Linked DNA regions of Lonchura striata. The protein of the gene in region 1 purifies or fractionates together with the protein of each later gene. This does not show direct contact. Links are inferred from orthologs where the notes say so. Each region holds a gene or a part of one and is shown in the gene's direction. Other genes may lie near its edges.

Evidence for each region.
Region 2: the proteins of PDS5A (region 1) and WAPL purify together in Homo sapiens (affinity purification with mass spectrometry; 6 studies listed by BioGRID and IntAct, with this or other methods). This does not show direct contact. The link is inferred for Lonchura striata from reciprocal best matches to the Homo sapiens genes PDS5A and WAPL.
Region 3: the proteins of PDS5A (region 1) and SMC1A purify together in Homo sapiens (co-immunoprecipitation; 8 studies listed by BioGRID and IntAct, with this or other methods). This does not show direct contact. The link is inferred for Lonchura striata from reciprocal best matches to the Homo sapiens genes PDS5A and SMC1A.

What each region holds. Positions count from the first base shown.
Region 1 is NC_134606.1:23,096,025-23,099,771, reverse strand, and holds the start of PDS5A (sister chromatid cohesion protein PDS5 homolog A), read left to right. Parts: upstream 1-1,570; 5' UTR 1,571-1,693; coding exon 1,694-1,720; intron 1,721-2,509; coding exon 2,510-2,680; intron 2,681-3,747. UniProt on the Homo sapiens protein: Probable regulator of sister chromatid cohesion in mitosis which may stabilize cohesin complex association with chromatin. May couple sister chromatid cohesion during mitosis to DNA replication.
Region 2 is NC_134609.1:5,932,844-5,936,590, reverse strand, and holds the start of WAPL (wings apart-like protein homolog), read left to right. Parts: upstream 1-757; 5' UTR 758-1,042; coding exon 1,043-1,143; intron 1,144-3,523; coding exon 3,524-3,747. UniProt on the Homo sapiens protein: Regulator of sister chromatid cohesion in mitosis which negatively regulates cohesin association with chromatin. Involved in both sister chromatid cohesion during interphase and sister-chromatid resolution during early stages of mitosis.
Region 3 is NC_134638.1:1,686,780-1,690,526, forward strand, and holds the start of SMC1A (structural maintenance of chromosomes protein 1A), read left to right. Parts: upstream 1-1,447; 5' UTR 1,448-1,558; coding exon 1,559-1,667; intron 1,668-2,686; coding exon 2,687-2,875; intron 2,876-3,747. UniProt on the Homo sapiens protein: Involved in chromosome cohesion during cell cycle and in DNA repair. Central component of cohesin complex. The cohesin complex is required for the cohesion of sister chromatids after DNA replication.

The sequences.
Region 1 (3,747 bases):
CACCTGTCTATTGTCAATGTCCAAATCCACTGATCCTTAAGCTGACAGAGAATCATTTTATCTAAGTCTGGATTCACAGCCAGATTTAAATGCCTGGTTTGATGACACCCTTCTAAATTTCAAAATCAGTGTCTGAGATTCTCCAAGTGTTCATTGCAACTCTCAGTCACTTTCACTATAATCCTTTTAAGCTGGTTTCATAGAGGCTGTGGACACTCAAGGCTTTAACTCCCCTAGGACAACAATGCAGGGAAACGAGGACCACAAGTGTAGGATAGCAATTTCCTACCCACATGCTATTACACCTGAAGCTCCAAAAAGCTTTTCAGTCTTTGTACGTTTTCCACCCGCACCTTGTAAAGCTGGAATTTGGCATACTTCACCATAATCTTACTTACCCCTATCCCATCCCCTCACCCTCCTGCACCTTTCCTTTGCCACTGCCAGGCCATGCTAGCTACCACCCTGCTGTGCGTAGAGAGGCTCCTGTCATACCTGTGCAATCCCCATGGAGAGAAACATCCCTCCATGGAGACTAGTCCTGACCTCCCACCTTCAACTTGCTCTAAAGAAAATTCATTAGAGATTTGCAAAATTAAGAAAAATAATACTTTTAGCTGGTTTGAATAACAAAAATAAACAGCTGAAGACCTGAAATTAGTCTTGATCAGTTAAGAGTCATCTTTCAGCTGTCACACATCTTCTCTGAGCAGCATGGGCATCTAGAAAATATTTCATAGCCACCTACACTTCAAACACGACACGGTACATACTGCAGATTCAAAACAAACAGATCTATCCCACTTTGTTATTGCCTTTCCAGACATACCCCATCCCTTCGAAATACGAATATTAAATTAGAAAGACATTTTGCACGGAAGGATTTCCTGAGCTGGCTGGCGAGGGCTCCTTTGGTCTGCATAGTCAAGTTTCTCCTTAAGATTTACAACCAAAGGATGGATACTCCTCTTTCCCCTCATCTGCCTGAAGAAGGACTGCTCACTCTCGCCGGCCACAGCACTCTGCCCCCCACACTGTTTCCGCACACTCTTCTCTATCATGCTGACCAGGCCCCAGACGCCTGAGGGACCGGCCCGCGCAGCCACGAGCGGCCTGGGCTCCGTAAGGAAGCAGCAAAGTAACTCGCTTCCCGCGCTGCAGCCGCGAACCCGCGGGCTCGCTCGCTGACACTGCCGGCAGCCGGGCATCGCCGCTCGGCGCCAGCCGGGCATCGCCGCCCCGGGGGGATTTAGGAGCCAAGCTGAGGCAGCGCCGCTCCAGCCCTCCGTGCGCACGGCTCCGCGCGGTGCCAGACTTACTGGGCGGCCTCGCCCTCTGCCCGGGGCGGGGGCTGCGGGCTCCCGGCGGGGCGTCGCCGCCGGCCGCGGGCGGGCAGGGGAAGGGGAAGGGGAAGGGGCGGGGGCGACGCGCAGGCTCCGCCCGGGCTGCGCTTCCCTGGGCGGGCGGAGAGCGGCGCTGGGTGCCCGCGGCGCACGCTCCGCCCGAGCCTCCCCCTCTCTCCGGCCGCCGCCGCTGCCGCTGCTGCCGCCACCGAGCCGCTCCCCCTCCCCCAGCCAGCGCTCCCGAGCAGGAGCTGCCGCGCCGCGGAGCAGGAGGCGGCGGGAGTGCCCAGGGCAGCGGCCGGCGGGGTGGCGGCGGAGCGGCGAGCACCACCCGGCACGGAGGCTGCTCAATGCTGCACCTTCCGGAGCTGCATGAGGTAAAGGCGGCTCCGGGTCCCGCTTCCCCCCGTGCTCGCTCCCCGCTCCCCACGGCCGCGGGGGTGTGTGCGCGGAGCTGGGGCTGCGGGGGGCTCTTTGTGGGCCCGGCCGAATGCGGGGCGGCGGGGCGGGTGGGGGGGGTGCGGGGCGAGAGCTGAGGGGACATGAAGTTGCGGGAACAAATGGAAAGTGGCGAGTGGCCGGGCCGCCTCTCCGGGGGAGCTCCTGGAGGCGCGGGAGGGCGGGCGGGGGGCTCTGAGGGAATGGGGGGTTCGCGGGGGGGTTTTGTTTGCGCTCTCCGCCGCCTCCCTCCCTTCCTCCCTCCCTCCCCCTCTCCTGTTGGCTTCTCTGCCTCCCGATAGTTTTGAGGCCTAACTGTTTAGGCCTCGTCTCCCGGCTCCGAGCCGGTGTGCCGGCTCTGAGCCATCTCCTGGGGCCGGGAACGGCGTCCCCGGCCCACCCCCCGGGCCGTAAGGGGCCCTCGGCCGCGGGGTATCCCTCGATTTGGCCCCAAATTTCATTGTAAAACCGTCGGCTGCGAACTAACAGTGTCGGGCTGGAGCAGCCTGGCAATGAAAGGAGGCGCCGGAGGGGAGCGAAGAGGCCCGAGTCGCGGGGAGCGGCGGCGGGCCGGGCCTCGCTCCCGCCGGGATGCGGCGGGGTCAGCGCTGGGGGGCGCGGCCGGCGGGGCGATAGCCGGGGCCTTCAGCGAATTGAGGGTGAGGAATGGAAAAAGAGGGTTAGAAAGTCGTTTCCATTCTGCTGAACTTTTGTTTTCTGACCGATAGAGGCCGGTAGAGGACTGTGGAGAAGGAAAGTTTATAACCAGCAGCGCCAGGATGGACTTCCCTGCTACCCAACCAAAACCCGCTGCCGACGGTAAAATCATCTACTATCCTCCTGGAGTGAAGGAGATTACGGACAAAATTACCAACGATGAGGTGGTTAAACGGTTAAAGGTGAGCAATTCTGACTACCACTCCCCTCCCTGCAACTTTTACTTGTTAAGGTAAACATTTTATCGCTGGAATGGAGAACTGCCAGAGTTTTGTTGTCCTTCCTGCCTGCAGACCTTTAAGGGAATATGACTTCATTGTTTTTCCTTAAGAGTGGAGGACCCATTTTTCCCATATTTTGTAATTCATTACTGTTCTCTTGTGCGTTCTCTCAATGCTGGATTTGATACATTAACTGCTAATTTGTACACGAAACATATCCACAGTCTAGAGAGGAGATTCGAAGTGGAATCATAAGTAATAATTACAGGATATGCTAGCAAAACTTTTTTGCAAGCCAGGTGGTTTTTTGGGTTCTGGCATTTGAAGAAAGTATAGTTGAGCAGAGGAAACAAGTAGGTCTACATAAGGGTATTTATGATTGAAAAGATCACACTGTTTGCAAAAAACAAAGCTTAATTTGTGGACTTTATGGATGGAATTTTGAAATAGTTTCAAATGTAAAACCTGTTTCAAGATTTTTTAACTTAGTGTGATACATACTGTTTTTTTCCTATTTAGTGTAATTGACAAAATTGCTAAATTTTCTTGAGCAAAACGGATTGCTAGAAAAGCATCTTCTCTGCTTGTTTGACAGCATCCTGGAGGAGTGCAAGTCTTGCCTCTTTTTTACTTTACTAATTCCTTCTTCCACTGCAAAAAAAATTAAATGCTACTGTGATACAGTAGGATTATTTCTTAAGTCCATGCTGAAAATAGAGAATTAAGTTGAGCATTGATCAAATATTGACACAGCTCATTTGTTAACACCATGGTCTTTGGACCAAAGGTTTTTGTAACCTAGGATTTGGTCCTATGCCCAGGATGGAGTAATAATTTCTAGAGATTGGAAATATTCTATCATCTGATGATCTGTTTCCCATGACAGTAAAGACTGAAAAATAGAAATCATGGTCTGGACAGGTCAGTTAGTACATTAAAAATTTTTCTTAGGTATAAATGTGAGGAGAACATAGGCTTTGTGCTTTGTTTTTTAAGCAGTTAGGCTTAAAAAGTGTTTTTTTTTTTTT
Region 2 (3,747 bases), on another chromosome or scaffold:
CCGCGGGGACCCGCCCGCCGGCTCCGGGGGCCGGGCCCGGGCCCCGCGGGGCCCGCGCCGCGCCACAAACTACAACTCCCGCCGGGCACCGCGCGGATGGGCGCATGCGCGGAGGCGGCGCGGGCGGCCGAGCGAGGCGCGCGGCGATTGGCCGCGGTGGCGGGGGGCGGGGCGCGCGCGGTGACGGCAGGAAGGAGCGGGGGCAAATGGCGGAGAGATGGTCCCGGGGCCCGTCCCGAGCGCGGCGATAATCCCGGCGCGGAGGAAGCGGCGCCGGAGGAGGCGGCGCCGGGGGCCCTGACGCCCGCGACACCCCGGGAGGGTCCCGCTGCCGGAGGGGCGGAGGCGTCCCGCGGGCTGAGCGCCTTTCGCAGGCGGCGCTTCGGCGGCCCGAACCCGCGGCCGGAGCCACATCGGCCGGGCCCGCGCCCGGCACCGCCGCCACCGCTGACGCCGAGGTGGGTGCGGGGTGAGGGGGCGGCGGGGGCCGAGCGGGCCGCGCACCCCGCGGGCTGCAGCCGCCGCCGGGCCCCCGGCGCTGTCCCGCCTGCAGGGGCGTGCGGGGCCGCCGCCCCCGGCCCGGCGCGAAGTTGCGGGGCGGGAATTGGCTCGGGCCGGCGCGGGGGGGTGCGGCTCCGCGGGCCGCGGCTGCCCCGGGCACTTGTGTAATGTGGGCCGGTGGGGCGGCGGGGCGGGCGAGGCGGCCGCGCGGGACGGGAAATGACATCAGGGAGCGGCGGGGTGACCCGGTTCCGCTCGCACCCCCGCCCCCCCGCCGCAAGGGGAGGGAGGAAAAAAGAAACTGTCACCGTGGGATTTCATCAGCTCCTTCTGCCTCCCTGCATTTAACCTATTTTTCTTTCCTTTGATTATGTAAGAGGAGCGGTGTAGAGAGGAGCGATGAGTAGGGGTGGCCGATGGGCTTCCTGGGGAATTACCGGGTTTTTTGTCCCCAGCTGGTCCGCCGAGTTAGCGCTGGGAAAGGAGAGAAAACTGTGGTTTTTGGGTTTTACGTGTCTTTACGTTGCTTGTATTGCTCCAAATGGTGCAGCACAATGCAGGCGAGGGAGGCAGGGAGCGGAAACAGAGTGAGATTACACCAAGTGTTTTATTTCCGTCTGAGAGAAAAATCAAGAGAAAATTGTGAGTAAAGAGAAAAATCCTGTTCTGTTGATGCTCTCGTGTAAGAAAGCACCTCTTTATGCTCTTAAATCTAAGATATAAGAGTATAGCATAGAGTATTTATATTTTCCTAATACTTTTAAACTGTGCACATTATATTGAGTATTAATTCGGGTTTTGGTGTTTTGATTTAAAACTTATGAGATGAACATAATTTTAAAATTTATAAATAAGAAAATGGAGTTTACTTTCTGAAAATTAACTCCTCTTGACTACAGGAATCTTCCCTTTGGAACTGCAAGCCCCAAGCTATACTTTAAATTTGTCATTAGTTTGCATAGGTTGGGAACATAGTATAAAAAATACTTGTCTGAGTACTTCTTATAGTGCTTATTATAACTAATACTTACTTGAGTCTTGAGGGTGTAGGGAAGGAAAATATGCTGGTGGTCAGTGAAATGGTTTTTTCTTTCCTGTAAGTTGTTAGAAACTGAGATATTAGTAAATATTTTACTTCAGCTTCTACAGTTCAAAAACCTGGCTATTCTGGTGTAAAATATTTTGGTTGCTGTTACAAATATTTACAAGCATCAGCAAAATAAAACTGGTAATTTAGATTTTGTTTGCTGTTTGCTTTCTAAACTATGTGTAGATAGAAAACACAAAATTGGAGCTCCATGCAGAGGAGAAAGAAAAGGAGTTTGGCAGTGATATGTGTGTGGAAAAGAGGAGGTGGGATTCAAGAGCCCTGTCTCCTAGGAACAGCCAGGAGCCCTCTGAAGAGTGGCTTTTGCAGCAGAGTTCTGCTCAGCAGATGAGCACCTGCCTTTACCCTCCCTCAGCTGCACCACGGGGGAAAAGAGCCTTTCCCAAAGTGGGTATTCCTGTAGCTCTTCTGCATTGCATCACCATCCACCTGGTAAACTTCTGAAGTTCAAATGTGATCATTTTAATGCACTTTAAATTTTCTCCATGGGTTTTCTCCCCGTGAATTGCTTGGTTCCAATGGTAAGTGAAGGTTGGTCTGGTCTAATAGAGGGAGACTATTATAGTGAGACAGTATTGCTAGAATGAAGTGATAGAGGGACATTTCTGGAAGGCAGTCTGGCAATTTTGGCAGAAGCAAGACTGCCACTTCAGGTTGAGAAGCTGTGAGTGCTGAGATGAAAACTAAAATAGGAATGATGGTATGTCACATATTCGGGGAGTAATAATAAAAACAGTTGTATTGAACAAATAGATCATTATAAGTCCAATAAAATTATTTTAACTGCCATTTTTCATATACTTTATATGAAGTTAGTTAACATTTCAAAAGTTAGATTTCTTTGATTCTGTACCTTAAATAACTGTCTTTTTTAGCAGACTTTTTTCTGGTATGGAGAGGTATTTCAGAGAGAAGGATGGAATTGATTAGATTCAGGCTGACTATAAAGAATTGCAATTTCCTATCCATGTTTGGGCCAAAAAGAGAGAAATAGTGGTTCACAAAACAGATATGAGAGTTTGGGGTTTGTGTTGTCATTTGTCCAGCAGTTAGTGTTTGTTTTTGGGTAAAAATCTTTGAGTTAAACAAAATTAGAAAAAGAGCACATACAAGGAACTCTTAAATGTGTTCCTGTTTAATGTGTTACTTTTACACTTCTGTTCCTCTGAGCAGGCTGTGGAGCAGTTGTGCTTGTAAGAGCCAGTGAGCAGTACTGGTTTACATGGGCCTGCTGAAGGTGTCCTCCATGTTCTTAGAGGTGGATTGAGCAGTGTCTCTGTTCTGTCCCTTGACGAATCAGATTTACCTGTGGGGGATTGTTGTGCACCAGTCCTGACCACATAATGTTACCAAGTAAAACAACTGTTACGTGAGTCTGAGTGTGAGAGATGAATGTGGGATGGAGTGGTCATCATTGTGATTAATTAGTACTTAAAATACATCTACAGCAATGTGAAATATTCTCTCAGTTTTTGTATTTAACTGGCAAGAGATTTTTTTTATGCCATGCTATGCTGTTGGACTCTAGGAGGGAGCTGTGTGTTCAGATGTGGTGAAAATACTGCTGAGTTGTTTCATGATATTTTATGATAATGCCTTCTATACTTGAAAATATAAAATTAGAGAAAAGCAATACCATTCTTAGAAGATTTTCTTAACGACTCATTGTGCCATTGGTTTATAAATGTGCAAGCAACTGAATTTCTTTTTATTTTAGTGGGTGCTTAGTGCAGAACCTTTTGCCATAGTGACAGTCACATGTCAATGAGTGCATCTAGAAAGAAACACGTGATGGAGCTGTTGGTTGTGTGCAGTGTACATGCCTGGTGCTTGTATGCCCAATAAAGGGTGGAAGTAACAATAATTTGTACTAGAAAAGTGATGAATTGATGTTTCTTCTTTCTTTCACAACAGAGAATATGAAACAGGAGCCAAAATGACATCCCGATTTGGAAAGACCTACAGCCGGAAAGGGGGAAATGGCAGTTCCAAGTTTGATGAAGTGTTTTCCAACAAACGGACCACCCTTAGTACAAAATGGGGAGAAACCACCTTCATGGCCAAATTAGGACAGAAGAGGCCCGGTGTCAAACCAGATATTTCTGAAGTTCCTAAGAAACCCAAAGTTGAAGATGAGG
Region 3 (3,747 bases), on another chromosome or scaffold:
GGGGAAATGGTGTTTGTGAGGGGAAAACAGGGAGAAATTGAGGTCTTGAGGGAAAAATGTGGGGAAAATGGAGCCCTTGAGGAGAAAATGGAGGGAAATGTAATTCATGAGGGGAAAAAGGGGGCAAATGGAACCCGTGAGGAGAAAATTGTGGGGAAATGGAGCTCCTGAGGAGAAAGTGGGAGAAATGGAGCCCGCCTGGGATGCTGGATCAGGTGTCCAGGTGGGAATACAAGAGGAATATTTGGATAACAATGAATTATTATCCAGAACGCTCTTTATTTGTCCAGCACTAATAAGCTGTTGCTAACAACGTTTGTATTTCATTTGATCGCAGGTTATCTCCATTTTGCGGCTAATTGGCTTTACACTTATCAATTTCTTGTTAGCATCATACTTACCTAAAGTTATCCACCTGGGGAGAATTTTCTTTTTTTCTCTGTTCATCACTAAGTACTTGGTTCACCGTAAAATACCCATTAATTGTAAACCAAAACGTTATTTATATCAGGATATATAGAGATGAAAGTTGTATTTAGGTTATATAGATATAAAAAGCTATGATTTAGGTTATATAGGTATTGGATTACACAAATATGTAAAAAATTATACAGATATATGAAATTATATAGATATGCACCTGCATTATATAGAGATAAATAGTTATATAGATTGCATAGATGCATAGATATGCTGTGTAAATATATAACTTTATCTTTTATTTCTCTGTATGCGTATAGATACAGAAAACTATATTACATAAGCAACGCATATCGGTACAACATATATTGATATATATTGTGTCAATGCCAATATAATTTATGTTATATTTATTTTAAATTGTAGAGATAGGCCAGGTTATACTAGCATCTTATAAAGCAAAGTATATGAATGTCTTTTAATTTTATCGAAGGTTAAATAGGCATTAATGAATAATAATATTGTGGAAAATGTATCTATTGAAACAGCATGTGATCATCTTTAAGTTATTGTTTACTATTCCACGTTAATTTATAATCTTGGTGCCATAGAACCATTCTAACGGGGAAAAACCTCGAGGAATAAATCTTGTCTCGAGGCTTTTTGTCCCAAGATCACCAAGCAACGCGATTTTTACCCAAAATCCCCCAATTTGCTTTGCTCCCACGGCGTCCCCCCGTTCCCATGGCGAAGGGGCGGCCCATTCCACCCTTCCCTCCCTCCACACTTGGTACATTCCATGCAAATGAGCCCGCTCGCGCCGCCACCCCTGCGTTCAAAATGACAACCAATAGGAAGCGAGAAGGCGGGGTTACGGTAATGATTGACAGCTCTCAGAGCCTATCGCGAGGCGCGGCGCCCCAAAGCCGCCAAGGAAAACCACCGGCCTATCAGCGGCGAGGAGGCGGGATTTCAGCGATGATTGACAGCGCCCGGAGCCAATCGGGAGGCGCGGCGCCCCGTCCCTCAGCGGCCGCCGCAGCCGCCGCTTTCCCGCCCTGCGCCCCGAGACCCCCCCGGGACCCCCAAAACCTTCCCGGGACCCCCGAAACCTTCCCGGGACCCTCCCGGGACCACCATGGGCTTCCTGAAGCTCATCGAGATCGAGAACTTCAAGTCCTACAAGGGCCGCCAGATCATCGGGCCCTTCCGCCGCTTCACCGCCATCATCGGCCCCAATGGCTCCGGTGAGTGCCGGGGGGGTTCAAGGAGCCGCTCCCGTGATGGTCTCTGAGGGGGGACACCGAGTTCTTTTACAGCGCCCCGCTTCCTGGGCTCCGTCCTAAATATTGGGGTCCTCCCCCATTTCGTGGGGGTCTCTTCTAAGCTTTATTGGGGTCCCCAATAATTCTCCACAGCATTCCCTCAGCGCCCCCCACTCGCCTCCCTCCTCTTCCCCTGGGGTCTCCCCCATTCTTGGGGTCCCTCCTCTTCCCCTGGGGTCTCCCCCATTCCTGGGGATCCCTCCTCTTCCCCTGGGGTCCCCCCCCGCCATTCCATGGGGTTCTTCTAAGCCTTATTGGGGTCCCCCCCATTCCATGGGGTCCCTCTTGAACTTTGGGGTCCCCCCATTCCCTGGGGTCCCCCCAATAATTCCTGGGTTCTCCCCATTCCCTGAACTCCCCCCTCTTTCCCTGGACTCCCCCCATCATTTCCCTCAATTCCTCCCATTCTTTGGGGTCCCCCCTCAATTCCCCAAACTCCCTCAATTCCTCCCATTCCCTGGGGTCCCCCCTCAATTCCCGGGGCTCCTTCCAACCCCCCATTCCCTGGGGTCCCCCCAATAATTCCTGGGTTCCCCCATTCCCTGAACTCTCCCCTCTTTCCCTGGACTCCCCCCTCAATTCCCTCAGTTCCTCCCATTCTTTGGGGTCCCCCCTCAATTCCCGGGGCTCCTTCCAACCCCCCATTCCCTGGGGTCCCCCCATTCCCTGGGGTCCCCCCAATAATTCCTGGGTTCCCCCATTCCCTGAACTCCCCCCTCTTTCCCTGGACTCCCCCCTCAATTCTCTCAGTTCCCCCCATTCCCTGGACTCCCCCCCTCAATTCCCTCAGTTCCTCCCATTCTTTGGGGTCCCCCCTCAATTCCCGGGGTTCCTTCCAACCCCTCATTCCCTGAGATCCCCCCATTCCTTGTGGTCCCCCCAACAACCCCGTGGGTCTCCCCCACCCCCTAAACCCCCCGTGTCCCCCCCAAACCCGGCAGGCAAATCCAACCTGATGGACGCCATCAGCTTCGTGCTGGGGGAGAAGACGAGCAACCTGCGGGTGAAGACGCTGCGGGACCTGATCCACGGCGCGCCCGTGGGCAAGCCGGCGGCCAGCCGCGCCTTCGTCAGCATGGTCTACTCCGAGGAGGGCGCCGAGGACCGCACCTTCGCCCGCGTCATCGTCGGTGAGCCTGCCGGGGGGTTTGGGGGGGGTCCTGGGGGTCTTTGGGGTGGGTTTGGGGGGCATTTATGGGAGTTTGGGGGGGGGTTGGGAGGGTTTATGGGAGGTTTGGGGGGCATTTATGGGAGTTTGGGGTGGGTTTGGGGGGGTTTATGGGATGTTTGGGGGGGATTTATGGGGGTCTAGGGCACATTTATGGGGGTTTGGGGTGGGTTTGGGGGGATTTATGGAGGTTTGGGGTGGGTTTGGGGGGTTTATGGTGGTTTGGGGGGTATTTATGGGGGTCTGGGAGGGATTTATGGGAGTTTGGGGGGATTTATGGGGGTCTGGGGGGTTTATGGTGGTTTGGGGGGCATTTATGGGAGGTTTGGGGGGGATTTATGGGAGTTTGGGGGGATTTATGGGGGTCTGGGGCACATTTATGGGGGTTTGGGGTGGGTTTGGGGGAATTTATGGGGGTCTGTGGTGGGTTTGGGGGGAGTTATGGGAGTTTTGGGGTGGGTTTGGGGGGATTTATGGGAGGTTTGGGGGGCATTTATGGGGGTCTGGGGGGGATTTATGGGAGTTTGGGGGGATTTATGGGGGTCTGGGGGGTTTATGGGGGTTTGGGGGGTTTATGGGGGTCTGGGGGGGATTTATGGGGGTCTGGGGTGGGTTTGGGGGGATTTATGGGACGTTTGAGGTGGGTCTGGGGGGGATGTATGGGGGTCTGGGGGGGATTTATGGAGGTTTGGGGTGGGTTTGGGGGGTTTATGGGGGTTTGGGGGGCATTTATGGAGGTTTGGGGGGGATTTATGGGAGTTTGGGGGAATTTATGGGGGTCTGGGGCGCATTTATGGGGGTTTGGTGTGGGTTTGGGGGGATTTATGGGAGGTT